3 linked regions of the Styela clava genome follow. The protein of the gene in region 1 purifies or fractionates together with the protein of each later gene. This does not show direct contact. Links are inferred from orthologs where the notes say so. Each region holds a gene or a part of one and is shown on either strand. Other genes may lie near its edges.

The links.
Region 2: the proteins of E3 ubiquitin-protein ligase KCMF1-like (region 1) and acyl-coenzyme A thioesterase 9, mitochondrial-like purify together in Homo sapiens (affinity purification with mass spectrometry; 3 studies listed by BioGRID and IntAct, with this or other methods). This does not show direct contact. The link is inferred for Styela clava from reciprocal best matches to the Homo sapiens genes KCMF1 and ACOT9.
Region 3: the proteins of E3 ubiquitin-protein ligase KCMF1-like (region 1) and protein NipSnap homolog 3A-like purify together in Homo sapiens (affinity purification with mass spectrometry; 4 studies listed by BioGRID and IntAct, counting the BioPlex papers as one, with this or other methods). This does not show direct contact. The link is inferred for Styela clava from reciprocal best matches to the Homo sapiens genes KCMF1 and NIPSNAP3A.

The regions. Positions count from the first base shown.
Region 1 is NC_135258.1:14,976,199-14,983,229, forward strand, and holds the start of E3 ubiquitin-protein ligase KCMF1-like, read left to right. Parts: upstream 1-3,941; 5' UTR 3,942-3,956; coding exon 3,957-3,992; intron 3,993-4,906; coding exon 4,907-4,976; intron 4,977-5,461; coding exon 5,462-5,629; intron 5,630-6,052; coding exon 6,053-6,192; intron 6,193-6,623; coding exon 6,624-6,768; intron 6,769-7,031. UniProt on the Homo sapiens protein: E3 ubiquitin-protein ligase which accepts ubiquitin from an E2 ubiquitin-conjugating enzyme and then transfers it to targeted substrates, promoting their degradation by the proteasome.
Region 2 is NC_135263.1:10,833,352-10,839,567, reverse strand, and holds acyl-coenzyme A thioesterase 9, mitochondrial-like, read left to right. Parts: upstream 1-4,120; 5' UTR 4,121-4,246; coding exon 4,247-5,518; 3' UTR 5,519-5,706; downstream 5,707-6,216. UniProt on the Homo sapiens protein: Mitochondrial acyl-CoA thioesterase. Catalyzes the hydrolysis of acyl-CoAs into free fatty acids and coenzyme A (CoA), regulating their respective intracellular levels. Regulates both mitochondrial lipid and amino acid metabolism.
Region 3 is NC_135263.1:19,597,364-19,605,371, reverse strand, and holds the start of protein NipSnap homolog 3A-like, read right to left. Parts: upstream 3,046-8,008; 5' UTR 2,906-3,045; coding exon 2,855-2,905; intron 2,016-2,854; coding exon 1,799-2,015; intron 557-1,798; coding exon 395-556; intron 313-394; coding exon 163-312; intron 1-162.

The sequences.
Region 1 (7,031 bases):
TTTTGTGACATCTTTAAGCTTTCTAAATATACGGCTGATATCTAAAATACTGCAGTGTAATGCTAATACCCATACGTATACATAAGATATCGGATAATTCAATTGTTACGAAATAAACGTGCTTAAACTGTGATAATGATGTAACAATAGACGATATCTAAAACTCAAAAGGTACCACATGAAGGGTTAAACTATTTCACTTAAGTTCGGCGGGCCATTTTAAATCGTTACGCGGGCCCTAATTGGCCCGCAGACTGCGGTTTAGAACCCCTCAGTGTGGAATTGCATCTCAAAATTAGGGGGGGTGTTTGAAATTTTAGGGGGGGTGTTCACCCCCTATAGGGGGGGTGTAGGGAAATCACTGATTCCATGCTTCCGAAAACAAATACCTGGCTAACTTATCCCATAGGCCATACCCGACTTGGACTGGTAACCGGACGAGAGGCTGTGGTTCGCCATATAATTAAGCCGTTTAGTGGCTTCCCTCTCACCCGGGATAAATATGTATATCCTATCCTATCACTGAATTGATTCTGTTCTTGTGTAAAGCTTGAGTTGATGTCATTCACGAACACCATCAAGTCCATGCTTCCGAAAACAAATAACTGGCTAACTAATCCCATACCCGACTTGGACTGGTAACCGGACAAGAGGCAGTGGTTCGCCATATGATTAAGCCGTTCATCACTTTCCTCTCTCCCGGGATAAATATGTATATCCTATCCTATCACTGAATTGATTCTGTGCTTGTGTAAAGCTTGTGTTGACGCCATTCACGAACGCTTTGCAAAGATTCATTTGGTTGAGAAAATTGAAGCGATATTATGCGCACGCATAGCGATATGTCAGTATGTGGTAATTTAAATTTGCGTTTTTTCATGGCAATGTATGCGTTTTTCATTTGTAAAAATCACCATCATTTCAGTTTTTTTCAACACGGCTAGACACGACTCATGTCACATGACGTCAAAATGAATAAATAGTAAACGATTTTCTGCGACTGATATTGTCTGTCCTTGTTCTGCTGTTCCTTGTTCTTCAGTTCTTCGCCGTTAACAAGCGACTGGCAGACTGGTAGGATTGTCTGTTGCGAGTAAGGTCAAATATCTAGTGTAGCGGGAACGAGGATATGAGTCTTTAGGTCAGTAATATTACGTGAATGGATTATGAATTTAATGGAATATGGACTTATTTTAATTTGTACATTTATTCATTTTTTGCATATTTATTAAAATCACTCATTGGGTGAGCCAATCGAAAAAAATATATTACGTGAATCGGCCGAACTCTGTACGTCAGTATTTTTGTCTTTGAGCTGTACGATACCGGTACTAACAATTCAGCAATTACTGAATTATAGAGGCGCAGTTCTTACCACTTCATGGCAGCTCCTGCCACGAACGTACCACGCCGTCTCCTGCCATGGTTTTATGGCGCTATTACCGGTATATTTACAAATTCATGTACCATATTTAAGTTTATCATGCGAAATTATATCTACTTAAACCCTAACCCTAACCCCAAATCCATCCAAACTGTATCCATAAGAAAAACATTCCAACTCACCAAATATTTATCACCATCAGCAGATTAGGGGCAGCCCTGCTATTACAGCCGACCTGCCGTGGTTACGGCAGTAAAATTGGTGGTATTCGATTTGCTGCCGTAACCACGGCAGCTCGCTATTGCAGTATTGGTTTGTGGCAGCTAAAAAGTCAGTCGCCGTGGGTTTGGTCTTAGTGGCCGTGGTTTGGAAATCCCGCCATGGTTTTGCGGCAGCTGTAGACGCCACAAAATACTTGAAACTGCACTTGGAATTATACGCTCAAACATGTCACAATGTCAGAATGTAGATGACCGTACCGTCAGGTCAGGCGTCAGACGGTACCGGTACTGAATTACAGAATTAAGTCTACCAGGAAGCCATGGGTGCAAGCAGAGATGTCAGGATGTGAGTTAGGCCCGTGATTCTTTAATTCTATGGTGAATTAACGCTTCGAACTACATTCTGATATTTGGCATTTCAACCTTCTGTCACTCAGAAAATTCAAGTTACAATTTACTACCTTACGGTACACAGTTATCACTCGTTTATTCATATATCTGTATATTTTTATATTCCATATACAGGCTATCCCTTGTTAATAACAAAATTTGGTAACTCGTGATATGGGAAATTTATTTGCAGAGAAGTGCTTTTTTTCGTCTTGGTCAACTCTAGTAACTATTTTTAATTTTGAATAGCAATTATGCCATATTATGATTAGCACACAACTCATTCTGACATTACGGTAATTGTTTCACATCTCGACAATATTTTATATAAAAGCTATGGACCACTAAGCACGCTTCACACTTAAAATCAGTGTGTATCATCACCTAACTCTGTAACTGCCTAATGCATTAATGCAGGTTATTTTGCAAGTAGCTTAGTTAACTATTATTAACTTCAATATGTCTATCTACCATTGCCTTCTGATGTATTTAACATCAGTTTATTTAGAGATGGTTACTCTCAAAAACATTCACTTTTTGTGGATGAGAATTCAATTCAATAATGACTGAATGAGGACCTCTGAATTTTTAATGAAACAGTAATCTTCCTGCCAGATGAAATGCTGTTTTTCGGAGACTTTTTCGTAAATGATCGAATCTTTTTTTTGGTTTCTTGGTGTTAGCCAATAGCAATCCAATGAATGAAAAAAACAAATTGAGAATTGTACATAAATTTACACAGACAATCCTGAACAAAGCTGACAGATTACTTATTAGAATTTGGGGGGATTGAGATTACATTACTGGATTAAACTATTTTTCTCCAATCAATTAATCTATTATTTGCTATTCTGTTTGTCAACAGCAGTACTGGCATATTTTTTTTTGTTCTCACCCTATTATGATAACTATGGTTATAGAAAATTGATTACCTATTATTCAGTTTTATCAAGAGAAGGACAGAGAAGTGTAAGACAAAGTTTGGAAATTTCAATATCCCAATATACCCAAATGCTTAAAATTATGATTTCAACTACAACGCTTGGGCTGGCCCAAGATTTCTCCAAAAAGTTGAAACTTTAAATTGAATATAATAACAGAACTAATTTTATAATATACTTCATTTAAATATTTGAAAAATTGTTCTGAACTCGTAAAGTTTTAAAATAGATATTAAAATATGGTATACCGGTAATGACTTTTTTTTTCTTGTTTCTCACAAATATTTTTTGCCTTTGCGTTGTGACAAAATTGTCATTCAGTACCAAGATGAAAGATATGCATTACGGATTTCACTTCTGACTTGCTGTATTTATGACCACTTTCACTTGAACAGCTTAGAGTCTTGTTTTATTAACCCCGGTCAATTGCATTGATGGTCATAATTAATAGCCTATAATATGAATCCTGATTCTAAAATTATTGTTAACAAGAACTTCATTCCAAAAAGTATTTTCTAGCGAATTAGTCGCTTTTCTAGGCCCAAATTTTTGACCTGATTTTGGGGGGATCATCTTATTAGACGTGTATGGAAACTTATTTTCCTTTTTTGGTTTCGCTTTATTATTCAATTCGGACCATAAAATACCTTCGGCGATAGCATCCCCTGACGCGACCATGATATATGTTTAATATCGTAATTACGGTAATGTAAAGTATATTTAATTCATTTTTTTTTACATCAATTTTACTCGGTGGGATATCATTGCTGACTTAAGGTTTTTTCCTACCGTGCAATCCTCGAAATAATGAGTGGCAGCATTGCGATAAAGCGAAATTGTTGCAGCAACAACTCAGATATTTTTTTAAATTGCAAAAATACGAATCAAAACAACATATAATTGTACATGTTTATGTCCACGGATTGCGTTGGTAATTTGTAGCAGTGATACTATTTATATTGTCCCAATCGCGGATTAAATTGATCACAATTAAATCGATCACAATTCACAATTAAATCAATGAAGAAACACATTTCGTTTTGTGGAGATTTTCAGGTGATGAACATGTATGTTTCATATATACACTTTATATGTACCGGTATATTTATTTATAAAATCTAAATATAATCAGGTAGTTTATCTCACATTATTATGTCCACAGATTGCCGTGTTAGGCAATGTTCCTATAAGTTGAACACAATTAGATAGAAATTGAAAGAATGTTTGAATTCCTGTAGTTGTTATGGATTGAATATTACGAAAAAAACATAATCGGCTATTTTAACCAATGCGCAAACGCGGCGGCCGCTCAAAAGCCTTTGCATGCAAAGCATGGTAATTTGAGATTCCGATGTTGATGCGATTTTACTACCCGTCTTATTTGCAAGTTATATGCAAAAACCCATTTTTCCAGGCGTAAAAACGGGGCTCGTCTTATTCACCAGGTAGACTTATTCACCGGGAAATACGGTATATCTGGGTGAGAAGTAATTAATATTACTGCAATGCAAAAAAAAATCCAGGTGTATCTAAAGATGTGCCATTGAATAAAGCATGTTCTAGTAGAATAGTTGAAGTCCATGATAGGAGGGAACATATTTAACAAGCTAAGAATGTTCAGAGTAAAATTTCCTATTTATGTATTTAATTAAATGGTCCATATAAGATTTACATAAAAAAACAGATTTAATGGAAAATGATTACATCAAGAGTTGGTAACTAACTCAATTTCATATTATTTTGGTACTGGTATACATGGGTCTGATCGAACATATTATGCATATTTTTGTTTTGCTATTATTTGGGTTGTAAAAGATTAAGTTGTAGTCGTATCCAATCTTTTGTATACAGAAATATACTATTTTTTGTCATAGATAACCATTCCATGTCAAGTTTTCTATCATATATTTCAAAACCATATTACTCATTAAAATATTATTTAGATTTAATTTTTTGAGTTATATTTCCAGATCATTTCATACAGTATAATAGTTACTGAACGAACTAACTTTTGGAAACACATTATGTCACGTCATGAAGGTATGTTATTATGAAAATATGCTAATCATATTTTATATATGTAATAGGTCATTCCAGCTCACTACAGTTATACATGACTCATTATAATTACTGTGGATTGTAGACAATCATCAGAAAATTTTCCCACTTAAACATTTACATTCCTTTTTTAATTGGACCAGCAAACTGTGTGTTTGGGATAGTGTGATAGGTCAGTAGTAATAGGCGTCAAATTATTTGTTTCACATTTTTCTGATTGGCAAATTTTGTGATAACAAATATACATATAATCAATTGCACATAGGTTCCTCGAATCTCATTGGGGTTCCGCCCCACGAAAAAGGTGAAAACCCTGTTATATACTTCGGGTGTAATTGTAATGGAAGGTAGCAGACTATTCCTATTTAAGGCTCATTGTACTTCTGCCAGTTTAGCAATATATAACCATAAAATTGTCCAAAGCCTAGATATATATATATATTGTAGCCTATTATATATTATTTTAGGAGTCAGCTGTGATAATTGCTTAATGAGCAATTTTCGACAAAAGCGTTTCAAATGTTTAATTTGCTACGATTACGATCTCTGTGAGATTTGCTACGATAACAATGTCAGTACATCACGTCACTCTCCTTCTCATCCAATGCAATGTATTTTAACAAAGCACGCCTTTGGTAAGTTTCATTTCTTAAAATAATATACTTAATTGGAAACCAAAAATCAGGCTTCAAAATTTATATAGGCTAATGCTGTAATTGTAATGTTGATGAAATTTTATCATTTTTTACCAAATTTGGCAATGTTTATACACAAATTTTATGTTGTATAGATAAATTTTATGTTGGATACCCATGTAACAAAGTCATTTTCTTCATGTGTATTGATATAAGATAATTGAAATCAAATCATTTATATTGCAAAGCATTTTCACCAAGCTTTCTGATAGCAATGCCTTTATTATCGTATCAATATTCGTTATGTATTTGTATTTTGGCTATGACCAAATAAATGATATATTTCTGATACTGTGAATATTACATTTGAGCTATCGTTTCTTATTCAATTTTTTTTTTATCTCCTTTCTTTTTGTGATCCAGATCTTTTCTATGGAGGTGAAGGTATAGGAATGGACAGTCCACCATCACTGACTTGCCCACTTTGTGGAAAGAAAGGTTTCACAGAAGTTAATTTACAAGAACATGTTAATTCTCAACATCTTGAAACTAGTGTAGAAGTGGTAAGTTCTAGAAATAAAATTTTGGAGGAGGCGTTTAAACTAATTCTCGTTCTGAAATACTGTATTTAGCAATTCTGCAACTAATCCAAAACCACTTTTAGCACTAAAATTTAGGTTTTTCCATATTACTGCCCAATAAGCAGAGGCTGAAAAATTGTGTTATTTTTTTCTGTTCTTCAGTTATGCACCAAAGCAAAGCACCTTGTTTTCCTAACTTACTACACATGATGGTACCGGTAACTGCATTTGCTCGTGATGCTCGCACAAATGCGGCAACATCATTTATAATATTCGCAGCAGACATTCCAGATTCACAATGTGAGAATGCTGATTCATGTAACAAGGCACTTTTTGCCCCACTTGACCGAAGTGAATACACGTTATTTTTCCCCTTTTCTGGTACAAAGCTGATAATATTGCTAAACTTTCAGGTCTGCCCAATATGTGCTGCAATACCAACTGGAGATCCAAATCATGTAACTGATGACTTTGCCACCCATCTTGCCATTGAACACAACACATCACATCGTACTGCGACCATTGAGGACCCAATAGGAGGTCGGCAAAGCATGAGACGTGAGAGTTTATTTGATGAAACATAACATAGTTTTTAATACACTACTAATATACACTTTGATGTATAGTATGGATAGGTTTTCAGAATGAATTTGGATCTTTGAATAGAAATAATTGATGAGTCAATTAATGGTGTCGTGATATGTAAAATGGAGTGAACCTGTGTGTTTATTAGTCTGTCAGATATCAGTTGCAATGCTCAAAATTAACTCTTAAATACTCCTACTCTACTATTAATTATCAAAAAATCTGTCTCATATTCA
Region 2 (6,216 bases), on another chromosome or scaffold:
AAATATTACATTCTTTTTCATCACTGTGTATTTTTAGACTTTCAATATTTTTTTCAATTTCAAATTTTGTAATTGCTAAAGAAATTACTAATTGCTATTCCCGGAGTGAATTTTTTTCTTGATGTTTTTTTTTAAAGAATTAATTCCACGTCCACATTATTATATAGATAAGAGTATATAATAATCTTTAGTAAAAACTATCCTTTCAGTCGTGTGATTTATTCTGATACGTCTTTTAAAATATTTTGTTTAAACGTATTCAAGATTTAAAAAAAAGAACAACAAATAACGTTCCTGCTAGGAGAGATTTTCCTTCAGATATGAATGCTTTGGCTGAAATAAAGTAAGCAACCTGTTCTTATTTTAAATAAATCAGTTTTCATAAATAGCAGGATTAAATTGTTTACTTCACGTAACTTTGTCTGTGTAAACACTTATAGAACACAGGCGATATACGCTAGTGTGTGGTCAGCGCGTTTGCTTTGTCACGGTCCACCAAACGTATGAAGTAAGTCAGTTCATCACCTTTTGAATAGGGGTTCACGCAAGACAAGCGCTGATCTTACACAGAGAGATCCGACGCATTCTCAATTATTTTGAACAAGAATAATAATTTGTGATGTGAAAATTCTGTTGGGTATATTCAGTATTAAATTGAATGCAAAATATTTGGTTTTGGACTTCCTCCAGCCAAAGTTTTTATACAACGGACAGCGTGAAATGAATCGTGATTACGCCTTCGGGACAGTGCGTGAGTATTATCGTCCACGCTTTAGGATCAGGGAAGTCGAGTTAGGAAAAGCGTATTAGGAAAATTGATGTCACATAACTAGGGCTGGGAATTTCAGGGAAAACACTTTAACAGCGTGACGTTTGACGTAATAATTTATAATTTTAGCTTGTTACGTCTCAATGATTACAAAGCAATTTAGGGTGATCTTATCCCGCTATCGCTCAAAATTATTCGCTCTGCTAGAAGAAATATGCAGCGTGATTCGTACATGTGAAAGTATTGTAATAAAACCTGAATCCGTTATTGTATGTCATTTATGTGACAAACTTTCAGTGTTCGACTTGCAAATTCTACGCTGGGATATATATCATAAAGAAAAACAGTATCAACTGCGCACTTGTTGGATGACATTGAATATACGATTTTGCAATAAAATTGTGAACAAAATATTTTTACCGAAAACTGAATTTATCATTGTCAAATTTTCATAATCAGCATCTTGGTACTTCAATTATTGTTCACATTTATTGGGAATTAAATGCCACAGGAGATGAATTTGCGATGACGTAATCATTTTTGAAAAAATTGTACATTATAAAGATGATTTATACCTAAGATGTCAGTTAACGGTTAAAATAAATCGTAACCGTTAACCATCTAAAATCGGTTAACCGATTAACGGGTTAACTATCCCCAGCCCTACACATAACATATTTCATTTTTGAACTTCGTCATGGTCCAAAAAATGACAACATAAGTTTAGCTTATTTAACTCGAATCATTGCGGATAGCAACATCACATTACCTTGCAAAGGCTAAGCTTGCTTTTTTACCTTCCAAGCAATACATTTTAGCTTTAACCAATTTTTGTTCAAATGTTATAATCATTCATTCATCATTGTACTGTGTAGGCAAAACAAACAATGACAACCATTGTCGGGCATGCATACTGGCCAAACAATTCAATGCTAACCAATCGAGCAATTGCTACCTGAAGAATTCAATAAACTAAATTTTCAGTCGTTTTGTAAATTCAGATTTGTTGATTTGTCAGATATGGTGATGACCATTTTAAAATTTATATAATTATTCGCGAGCACGACAACCAAATTACAACTACGGCTACATAGCGCCTCGAGTGGTGCATACATTCGATAATAGTATGTATTCAGAAGTCCACAGAAATGTAGGGCCACAACTGATACTTTCCCGAGTCTTTACTCCAAACAAAATTTTTCCACGCTACTCCATTGCAAAGTTTTTATTGCTTATTTCAGGGGTATATTTGCGAGGCGCGTGCTGAAAGTTTATTTTCGAAGCTTAGTACCGTGTTTCCCAGAAAATAAGACCTAGCCCAAATTTAAAAAATTATTTCAATACAAGCCCTCTTCTTAAAATAAGACCTAGTCAATACCGCGAACTTTTTTTACTTAGTCGATAACAAGAAATCTCTCCTACACGTTTTAAATGATTGATAATCTATGTTTTGCAGTTATTTTGACTAAAAATGTGCCATGGGTATCGCTTTTCATATTTTGTATGATTGAAAATCTCGTAATTCTCTAATTTATAATTTTGTTTTTGATAAATGAAAATAAGAGACATCCCCGAAAATAAGCCCTAGTGTTGTTTTTCAGAAGAAAATTGAAATAAGAACCAGTCTTATTTTCGGGGCCGTTTTCAATAATTGGAACTAAACTAGAAGACTTCCGAGAAAGAAATGACTCCTGAAATAAACCTAAACTTTGAAAATATAACGAAAAACAAACATTTAAAATAACAAAATGAGTAAATGTTTATAAGGTAGCTTAAAAAACCTGGGTAAAAGGTGTCCGATCGATTGCTTCAAATTTCAATTATTACGCAACAGTTCTTTCTGATATTTACCATCAAATAACATTATTTTTCCTAAAATTTGTTTGATCTCCATGCTTGCGAGTCATATCCTGTGGTGGAATAAAAATAAAAAAACGGTTCTCTTTTTGTATCGATTCCACAAACAACATGTCGCCTACGTAGTCAAAAGTTTACAGTGATACTCGATTTTGAATACCTGTCAAAAATAAAAAACCTAGATAAAAGTATAATGCACTGAATATATTTGCTGACCGTAATGAGACACTCACTGAGCGCACGAGACTCTCGGCCTAATGGGACATGCGCAGATCATTTTTGTCAAGCACCGATACCGATATTTGAAATTCTCGATATTCTAATAATATGTAATCAATATCAATGTATATACGATGTTTTTTAATTACACGCTACCAAAGAGTATTTACAGAGAACATTATTTCGATCAGATATCCCAAACACGAGAACGCACAACTTTAAATCTGCATTTGTGATTAAAATTCATAAATGATGTGTCACTATAAACTCACTACGTTAGTATATTTGTCACCTATCCTGGCTCACATCCCTCATAACCAATATATTTCAATACCTACCTCAGTATCAATACCCTAATTTCATTCTATTTTACTTAAACTGTAATCAGTAGCATTTAATAATTGATGTTATCTACTAGACTACAATTTGGTAATATTTTGGCTCTTCATTGGGGAATGAAGCGGTTTAGCCTACCTCTTCATGCACCCAACTATAATACCCTTAACGAAATATTTTTTTATGTCTTATATTAGATACTGTTCACCCTTATTTACAAAATCTGTATTCAATTTGGAAACTTTCATAAAATTATCAAAATGGTCAAGCTTATTTTTTATTTTAATTCTTATTTTTTATTTTAATTCTTTTTATTTTTTGTGTACAATATAATTTATCTAAAGCTTCTCTATTTTTTCTAACTTTGTTATATCCCTGTGGTTGTGAGTGTGTGTGAACACGTACCACTTCTTTTTGACAAAAACCTTCCATCTTATATTCTGTACGTTTTAAACCTCATCCAAGGTTTCGTTTTCTCTTCTGCTTTCATAATCAGTTTTTATTTTATTTGTTTTTATCAATCATTAAATCTCCTTTTATGCTGATTATGGAATCGAAATAAACTTATCTTATCTTACTTATTTGATTGATACGCAAATTATAGCAGACGTTAGGTTTTGCCTTGGCGCTAGTAATTGGTGCACAACTAGAAAACTCATAGTAAGCCGATTACTATACATGGAAAAATACATATACTGTATTTAATATATTCATTTATTTTAAGGACACACTATACAAACTGTGGAGAGCCTTTAAATCCTTCCACGGCAAAAAATAATTCCAGTCGCAGATACCCGTATTCTAGATAAGATCAGAGAGATGTTTACTTCGGAAATATTCGATAAATTCTAGACTAGATACCACACCGGGTTTCCCCGAAAATAAGAAAGTGTCTTATTTTAAATTTATTTTCAAGAATAACACACATTGACCCCATTCTGCCCCTTTGTTACCCTATTTCGCCTTTGGACACTCATAGAATATTATAGGGGTGTCTGATTACGAATTTTGAAATTTTGTTAGAAGTTAGATATTGCACTAGCCACTAGCATATTAGCGTAATAGATGGAAGTCCGACGACTGATTGCTATAATTACCAAGTCAGTACTTAGGACAAGCTATAGGAAAGTCTCGTCATCCAGTAAAAAATGTGCAGCAATACCAACAATTCAAGAGATTAGGACACAGTTGCAGCAAACGCTCGGCGCAAGCTCAGCATGGATTAAAAGTGAAGAATATAGGGAAAAACTTGCAGCTTCTCTGCCACAGACTCAGAGTGATTTGATGCCCCGTCGGATGCAAGATAGCTATTATGAAGCTATTGTACCCTTGTCAGATCCTGTCATACGGGAAAAATACAAAGGATTATATGATAATGTAAGACTTGGACAGTTGTTGGAAAATTTGGATACGTTTGCAGTACACATCAGTTATCTACATAATAATCCTTACTCATCAAAGACAGGGGAAAGTCCTTTGTCAATTGTTACAGCAATGGTTGATGAAATAAAAATTCACAATCATTGCTTGGAATCTCAGGCAGATATATTACTTAAAGGTCATGTGACATGGACAGGGAAAAGCTCCATGGAAATCAAGATGTGGTTGACTCAATTGGCAAAACCTATCATTGATGCAACATTCGTTATGGTAGCACGAGATCCGTTAAATCGTTCTGCGATAGTTTACCCTCTGTTAATGGAAGATCCCAAAGACAAAGCTTTATTTCAGGAAGGGGAAAAACATAAAATTGAACGGTTGGAAGAGGCGAAGTATTCACTTTTGAAATATCCCCCAAAAGAAGAAGAAAGACAAGTTGTACATGACTTATTTTTACAAACATTAGACACAAAGACTATGTCTTTTCGAGGAAGACAGCTGCCAGAAGATTGTGTGTGGATGGAAGATACAAAACTGAAAAATTCAATTATTTGTTTTCCTGAAAAGCGCAACATTCACAATAAAATTTTTGGTGGTTTCCTTATGCGCACAGGTTTCGAACTTGCATGGGCGAATGCTTGTATATTTTCTAAAACAAGACCTCATGTCACAGCTGTGGATGATATTTTATTTCGTTGCCCGGTGCAAATTGGATCACTTTTGCTTATATCATCCCAAGTATGCTTTTCTCAGGGTAAGGATTTTCACATCCGAGCACATGCTGAAGTTATGGACCCACATACAGGTGTCAGTACTACTTGCAACACTTTTAACTTTTCTTTTACATGTGATAATGAAAACCTTCCCACAGTTATGCCAAGAACATATGGTGAATCCATGCTATATTTGGATGGAAGAAGGCATTACAATACCCTCAAAGGTATATCTGGCGTCTGATAAAATTATTTTCTCCAATGTAAGAAATGGTATGGCAGAATTCCTTTTCACAACCTGCAATATATTTTTTTGCTAGGTAATTTCCAGGCTGTTCTTGTTTTTCTAACTTTCATTCCATGTATCTTCTATTGTGATATCTTTAACACTTCTATTCAAGACTGATAACAATACACACAAATTAGCATTGAGTTGTTTTTCTTCTATCACCAGAGTAGAAAAAAGCACAGACAATGAGACAAATTGGTCAATCAAAGTTTATTGCATATTTTCAAAATGATCAAGATTGTTTGATTGTATAAAATAGAGATTGCACAGAGAATATAAGTAAGAATATATACAAATTATGCATCACTGCATGGCAAGGTTTACATATGCATAGGTCAAATTTTACTATAAAATGTAGTTTCTATGCTGAATCAACAATTTTTTTTAGAATCCGATGGTCTTACTCGGCGGCTCCTCCAAGCCTGAGAGGAAATACACAAACATTACTTTGTAGTCGGTGTAGCTTGTTTAATATTTTATGATTATGCTAAAAATAATTTGAATTAATCAAATTGTTGCTTGTTGGAGACAATGAAATGAAAAACAAATAAAACTGTGGACAATAAGCTTCAGGTTACTGGGTTCATTATCGAGCAGTGCAAATATCTTAAATTCTAGTAACATGATTGACTATTTCGAAGATGCATATTGCT
Region 3 (8,008 bases), on another chromosome or scaffold:
GGTATTATTTTTTTAAACACTTGTTTATTTCGTACCAAAAGTGAACACAACATACCAATCTATGAAATAAAAAGTAATTCCAGGAAAGTAGAAATGCTATGCTTATAAGCGATGGGACTCTAGAAGCAATAGGTAATATATTATAAGTAATAATTAGCTAACCTGTGTTGTGGTCTCCGACATCCGTATACCAAGTTCCAATCAAGTCCGCATATTCAAGTCTTGCATGCGCAAGCAATGAACTTTTCAAATTTTCTTCCCAAACCCGAGGACCTCCAACCCTCATTCCATATGTTGATAGTTCAAAGCATCCTTGTTAAATAGATATATATTTATAAACACCAGCGACCATCTGTCAGTTGCAACTATGGTTACAAAATAATTCACCGCCCACCTGTGTCAGTCTTATCCATGTGTAAATCGCACCAATTAGCTTTCAAGACGATAGAATTAGTTTGATGAGCGACATATGGAAATGCTTTTTGAACAAATGATTCTTGCCACTCCTTGTCTTTCGCTAAAGCAGTTCTTACAGCGGTTCTGTGGGCAAAGTTTTCTGGAAAATTACATAAACTGAACTTAAGTAATGTAGCATTTTGATTTCATTCAGTTTTATTGCCTTCTTGATCAGCTTCATTTTTTGAGGTTAGATCAAAAATGAAGACAATCACAAAAAGTGACGTCAAATGGCACCTGTCAAAGCTAGGCCTATGTGGATTCCGGGCACTTCCTCGAAAAAAAGTGCTTTCCTCAATATTGCGATCATTAATGAGTACCTAATGCCTTTTAAAGTTTGTAAACATGTAGGCCCAAAGAATGAAGGCAAAAATTCAACGCTTATTCCTCATTTCTGCCCGATTTTTCGTCGAAATACTAAAAAAAGCACCCATGTTCGCTAAACTCGGTTTAGCAAATAAATAAAATGCAGCCCACGAAATTGCAGCAAGCAAGTAACTCTATTGTTACGTGACCTCAAGAGGCAGGTACTATCCAACATGAAGTAAACCACATAAAGCGGTAAAATGAATTTATTGATCATATACACACCATTTAAAATAGGGAACAGTAAAATATTTTTATAATAAATACAATATGTGAAATACTCAATGATATACCGTGTTTCCCTGAAAATAAGACCTAGTCTGACTTTTAAAAATGATTTTAATATAAGCCCACCCTTTAAAATAAGACCTAGTCAAATACTCAAAATTTTTTTTGACCTAGTCGATGGCAAGAAATCCCTCCAATACGTTTTAAATGATTAGTCTAAAACGGTTCCATTACATTTGAACCCACGTACATTTGAACCCATGACAATTGCACCTGTATGCTATTGCACCTATGGAATTTTTTTTGTTTTACGGATAGTTGAACCCATACTAACCCTAACCCATGGGTTTTAACACCCGCATATAGATTGAACCCGTGGATATGCACACGGGTTCAAATGTACGTGGGTTCAAATGTACGGTCACCGTCTAAAACGTGTGAGAGAGTAAAATTGTTAATGGATATCGGTTTTCATATTTTGTATATTCGAAAATCTCGTAATTTTTTACTTTGTAATTTTGTTTTGATAAATAAAAGACATCCCCCGAAAGTAAGCCCTAGTGTTATTTTTCGAAAGAAAATTGAAATAACCCCCAGTCCTATTTTCGGGGAAACACGGTATTAGTTAGATATGTTTAACAGAATTCCGTTAATTTTAGGGCGCGCTAAGCAAATCGCCGCGAAGTACTAGTACCCCCTATGAAAACCGCTGATATATGTACACAATAAACACAAGAAAAAGACGTACCATATTCCCAAATATGTATGACTTGATTCAAAGCCCCCAGGTCTGCAATCCAATACCCCCAAAAAGGAGAATGTTGGGTTCGGAGATGATAATTTTTCTCCAATAACTCTAAAAACTTTGGCATGCCATGTGGTGTTAATGAATACTTTCGAAGTTCATATATATTAGATTCTCCTGTATCTGTCGATACATATCGGCTGGATGATGCCGCAATGCCCTGCAAGCAACATTTAGATATCTCCTAATAACAAGCTAAAAATAACGAATCGAGGATTGAATCACAAGCACGTTCGTAATTTCAAGACTTCGGTAAATATATAAAAAAACAGTCACCTGGTGATTTGCAGCCTTCAGCAAAGCAAACTCGCTTAAAGGCTCGTAAACATTACTTGTGCGCGCGCACACAAGGGTCGACACAACACTATATATATATCGGCGAGTTTGAAAACTCCATCAAATGGTATGGCAATGACAAACACAACGTAAGGATAAATGTATAATGCACATGCCTTCCGAAAACACAGAACGACACCTAGTCGATCTAAAGTGCCCCGTTGTGTAACGGATCATTTTGTGCAAAATTCTGCTATTTTCTAACTTTTTTTTCCGGACACATCACATCTGTAAAACAAGTCTGAGCCGATTTGAAGTTACAAAAAAACTGATTGTTGTTCAGTTTGCTTGATATTGTTTTCCGCGACGCCTAAATTTACGTTAACTATTGAATTGAAATCGTAATTATGTGATATAATTTGAAATTCCGGCTTAACCATACAAAATAATATTTGCGTTATAACCAATTTATCACAATTGTACCTAGTGCATTTTTTAGTGATCTGGACCAAGGATTATTAAAGTTCTTATCCTTCTTAAATATCATCGGTCATTTGGAAATTTGGTTTTGAACGAGTTTCCTGTACTCTGAATAAGTTGAGCTAGCTTTGAGCAGATAATATAGTCATATAATTTATTATTACTCTGAAAAGAATAATTCTTCAATCCAAGATATCAACCTAAAATTAGAACCACTTCAAATAATCAATAAAAGTTACTTACATTAGAAAATATTCTCTTGATTGCACTTAATCTCAATGAAATATTCAACATGATTGAGTAATTTTAAAAACTAGTAAATATTCATAATCTCTGGTGTAAAAAATAATGAGAAAACAAAACATGAAATGTAGTTCATAGTTAAACTGCTTATAAGTCTTGATGAATTTAAAGTTCATAAATCTAATTTTGGATTGTTAAAGCTTGAAGTTGAGGGCTTTCCTATTTTTAAGCTAGTTGATATAAAATCCTACGATATATAAAATCCTTTTCTGATAACCAGTGTTTTGAGGGATTAGCCAAATCTCCTCATATTGGAGCCCTTTATATTACATAAAGTTTGGAATTGAAACCTAACCTCCAACGAATCAAAATTGGAATTTTCAAGCCAAACTTATAAAGGTGGGAAAATAGTAGTTGGGGTTACATAGTTTTCACCCTTAAATCTACAGCTGTAGTCAATTTCTATTGTAGTCGTATGAACTATTCTTTGACCCCATATCCCTGTTACAGATAAGCCATCTGGAATCATAAAACTACCTTATATGATTTTCATGAAGCACAATTTAAACATCAAAATGCCTGACTTCAATGAAATTTCCCAAATATGTGAGTTTTGAAAACTTAATAGTGGCAATTGCAATTTATGGTATAGAAACAGATGATTGAGCAAAAAAATGACATGTCAGATAAGAAAAAACAACAATAACTTCTGTAAATTTATTTATCTAAAAATGATCAACCTACAACCAAAATCTATCCCAACATCCATCAAACAATGACATTTTAAAAAGGTTTCAGTATACACATATCATTCATTATTTTGGATATTCTTTCCTAATAAATCAGTGGTCTCAACCTTTTACTGACCGTGTACCACTCAACTGTTTTTTGCCGCGTACAACTAAAAAAGCACCTTTTTGGCGTGGGGAACAATGGCACATGACACACGCTATGGGAGTATTCTATAATGTGGCACTTCATCCTTCGTGACTCAATTCGCAAGATGGACGAAACATGCCCATCTTGATTCATTCGGGGACAGTAGCAGACAAGGGCGATCTCTTAAAGACTAGACTGGTAAATAGGACGTTTCTCCAACCCTTGACCCCAGAAAAACTCTTACTATACTTTACTATTGCAAAAAATTTTAGAAAGTGTTTCGATGCGTTGGCGCTTATAAGGTGGTTTACATGTTTGAAGCCCTAATTTTTATTTAAATTAATCAACCATGTGGCACTGATAGCTTAGTTTAGACTGGTCTATCGCAGCATTTGCGAGACTCATTTTTGATTACAGCAACTAAATTAATGCTCCTTTGGAGACATAATGATATTTAATTTACAACTATTTTTTCAAAATAACTGAAAACTAACAAATAACTCGCAAAACTCTAAAAACGAGGCAATGTTTACTTTACAACCATACTTGAATATCTGTCTGAGCGACAGAAGTGTCTGAGCGGCTGCAGAAATTGCAATTGTTAAGTCATTGTTGACTTTTTGCTGATTGGTTATGGTTACAGAAATAAACAAGGAAATTGATGCCCGTGAAATATTCATAAAGGCCGTTCAGCGAATACATACAATATGAAATAGAAGCGTTGTCGGCATATTTTAGCCAACTCAAAAGTCAATTGTTGCAATAATTTACCGTAAATCTGGCCGCGTACCACAGGTTGAGAACCACTGTAATAAATGAATTAGTATCATATCAAAATTCATGGTATGTCAATATCGGTCAGTACTTTGTTTTAGAATATTGATGGTTCAACTTCATATTTAGAACATTGGTGATGTGATGCATTGGCCCTAAATGCACATCAAAACTCGTGTAGAAAAATAAAAGAGACTGACAAATATTAACATGCATTCAGATTCCAAATAATGATATGGGACTAGGTATTTTCTGGTTGGATGATAAAAGATACAAAACTGATATTTGGATCCAAGTCTACAACAGTTACACATCATTCCATTTGAACAAAATAAAACTAAAAGTAGGATAGGTACCACTGCTTAAAACCAATTTCGTTAAGAAGATGATTTCATAAAATCTAGAAGTATCATTTAGTAAAGGAGATTTTTTGATATTTTAACGAAGGAGTACTTTGATTTTTGTTTGTTTATATTTATTGAATCTTATTCAGCATTTGGAAATCGTACGACAATAAAATATATGGGCTGTTCAGTGAAAGCTGGTCTAATAATATTTTTTTCATAATTACACTATCCGGTAAGATTTTCTCTTCAGAATAAATGTTAATTTGCAAATCTTCATGCATTTTCAAAATTGGATTCAACTTTAGCCTTATCAGTTTTTTTAAGTAATAAATAGTCACTCTCGATGAACATCTCACATAATTTTTCAGAAAAGGCGTAAATGATATTCCTTTATAAAATGAATTGCTGCCATTATTAAATACCTCTGACAACATACCAGGATGCATAGTCAAAAAAATAATGAGTTTCTCATCATATTGAATTGTATGTGCAACATTATAGTTTGATATCTTATAAACGTCAATTGATGGCACTTCTGCATTACTGGTATCACGAATAAGTTTTTGTTGGGTATATTTTAGAGGGGTACCAATGTTTAACAAATGACTTCCACTCAAAGTGAAATCGATTCCTTTTGATCTGTAGAATGTTGCCTCTGCTTCTTGTTCATTTTTAAAAAGGTTTGGGACCAACTTATAAACGACATCTTGCATAACACGATCACTTCGTAGGTTGTTCAAAGGTTGTGTTTCATGGACTTCATCTCCACACTCTGGGCAAGATTTTTTAGTCTGAAAATGTTTGACAATGCAACCCTTGCAAAAAGTATGAGAGCATTCAGTAATTGTTGTTGCATCAATAAAATATCCAGCACATAATGCACACACAATGTGCGGATTAAGTTCCCGAATTTTAATGATTAGATCAGCCTCTCTGTATTGAGGTTCTGTCGACGGTTCAGTCATAGAGTCATCTTGCTGTTCCATTGAAACAGATTATGATGCTATTTATTACACTTAACTGTTGTGGAAAATAGAAAGGAATTGACGTTATGAGAAAAATACATAAATATGCCATAGGCTATGCTTTTTATTTGTATAAGTGGCTTATTTTGATCATGTTGTATGAATACAAATACAGTCTACAGACGAAATTGGGTAACGTTAGAGAAGTTAGACTGTTGACTTATAGGACTGTGTTCGTTTAATTTTTTGAACTTTATTGGTATTAAATGTTTTGAATGAGCACCTTCAAATATATTAAAACCTTCAGACTTCACAGTAACACTTAAATATTAATGAATGTGAGCTCAGTAGTCTATGGTTGCAGTAGTCTAAACTCGCCGACGGCAGTCGCCCGACAGGCCGTCAACTCACCAGTCGAGCAAACGCTCTGCGACGTGACGTCATCGATGCTCGAGGTGAAGACAACTCGACTACCGAGCAACGAGAGGCAGACAACTCATCAGTCGAGCAATCGCTCTTATCTGCGATATCGATGCTCGAGGAGAAGACATTGCTTTGCAAAACGCAGACTCAAGAGTTGCATAGCATTTACTTAGTGCCGACTGATATTAGTTGTGAGCCAACTCACCACGGCAAGGTTTCAGTCATAGAGTTGGAATTTCTTTTTGCAGAAGAAAACCAGGAACAGATAGGCACTGTCGCTGCGCCTGGCAAAGAAACTGGGCCGAAGTATGGATAATCAATCAATCAATCATCATTTATTCATCAACACAATTTAAACATGGTATGATATATGAAAAAATATTACAAATACAAGTGGAAAATAACTTAAATTGTGTGACAGGAGTCGCGAGGGACCTCAAGAGGTCTTCAGGCAGCGACACCTAAAATGATGTTTACTTTTTGTTACGATTAATGAATTTAATATGATATTTGAATACTAAACGTTATGGGGAAATTTAACCTTTTCCATGCGATTTTTATTAAATAATCATATTTGCTACGCCGATTTTATGCATTTGTACCCCCACAACTATTCGATCGACTAACGAAAAAAAACTAATCCTCTGCTGCCCACTGACGGCTCGTTGGGAAGCTTATTTAAAGTTTTTTTAAAAGTGGTGGTCTGAGTCACAAACCGGATAGAAAAAAGACATTTTTTTTCTTGGGAGTTGAAACTTCAAACCGTGATAAAAAATAGAAATATTCGCTAAATCCTTTACTGCTACCGCTTCGTGGTTGGCAAACAATAGCATAATATTGCTGTAGCAATTTCGTGATCTAACTTAAAATACTTTGGTAGGGTTAATGGATGGAAGGTTTTGTTTTCTTTTTCGTTACGAATAATGAATTTTATTTGAATACTAAACGTTTTGGGAAATTTGCTGCGTTACATACTTACTCTTTGCAATACTGCGGCCCTCTCGTTGGCTTCCGCATACCTGCCGTTGACACGCCCCACAACATTCTCTTCCAAAATCTCCACAACGTCCACCTCTATCCCTATACTTACCTCGTACATTGTTGAGATTAAACTGTAAAAAGGCATATTTTTCCGAGTTATACTGTTAAAATGGCGGTGCCAACCTTCCAGATGATTGTTGGTTCTTATTTCTACGTCGAATACTGACCAATCATTGGGAGTCCAGACACTGTTGTATAGCTTGTGTTTTGAAAATATTCGGCGAAGTTCTTGAGTTTGCTTCTTTTCTTTCAGTGATTTGAATCTGGACGTAATAAACATAGGTGGTATATAGCACAGCGTCATGACATGCTTGATCAGGTCTCTTGTTCCAGCCTCCCTAAAACAAAATAAAAACATGTTAATACAAAAGAAGTGAAAGATGTACAAAGACATATATACATATGGTTAACCACTCACTTGTTGTATAGGCGAGCCAAATTATTGTGACGCACATTCTTCATGATGGCCTGAGTGAAGTGATATCCATGCACGGAGATTAGATAAGGTGCCAGATAGGTGATAATGAAGCCGCGCGCCTAAATTACTGCTCAGTTATCGCCGAGTTCAAAGCCTCATTATCGCCGGCCTGACACCTTACAAACGTAAATACTCATTAGCCGAAGTCGTTTTCATTACAGTTTTATACTGAAACGAGAACGACTAACGGTATATTAACTCCACAAAAACTACGCAAGAATTCAAGATGACTCCAAATACGTGCAAG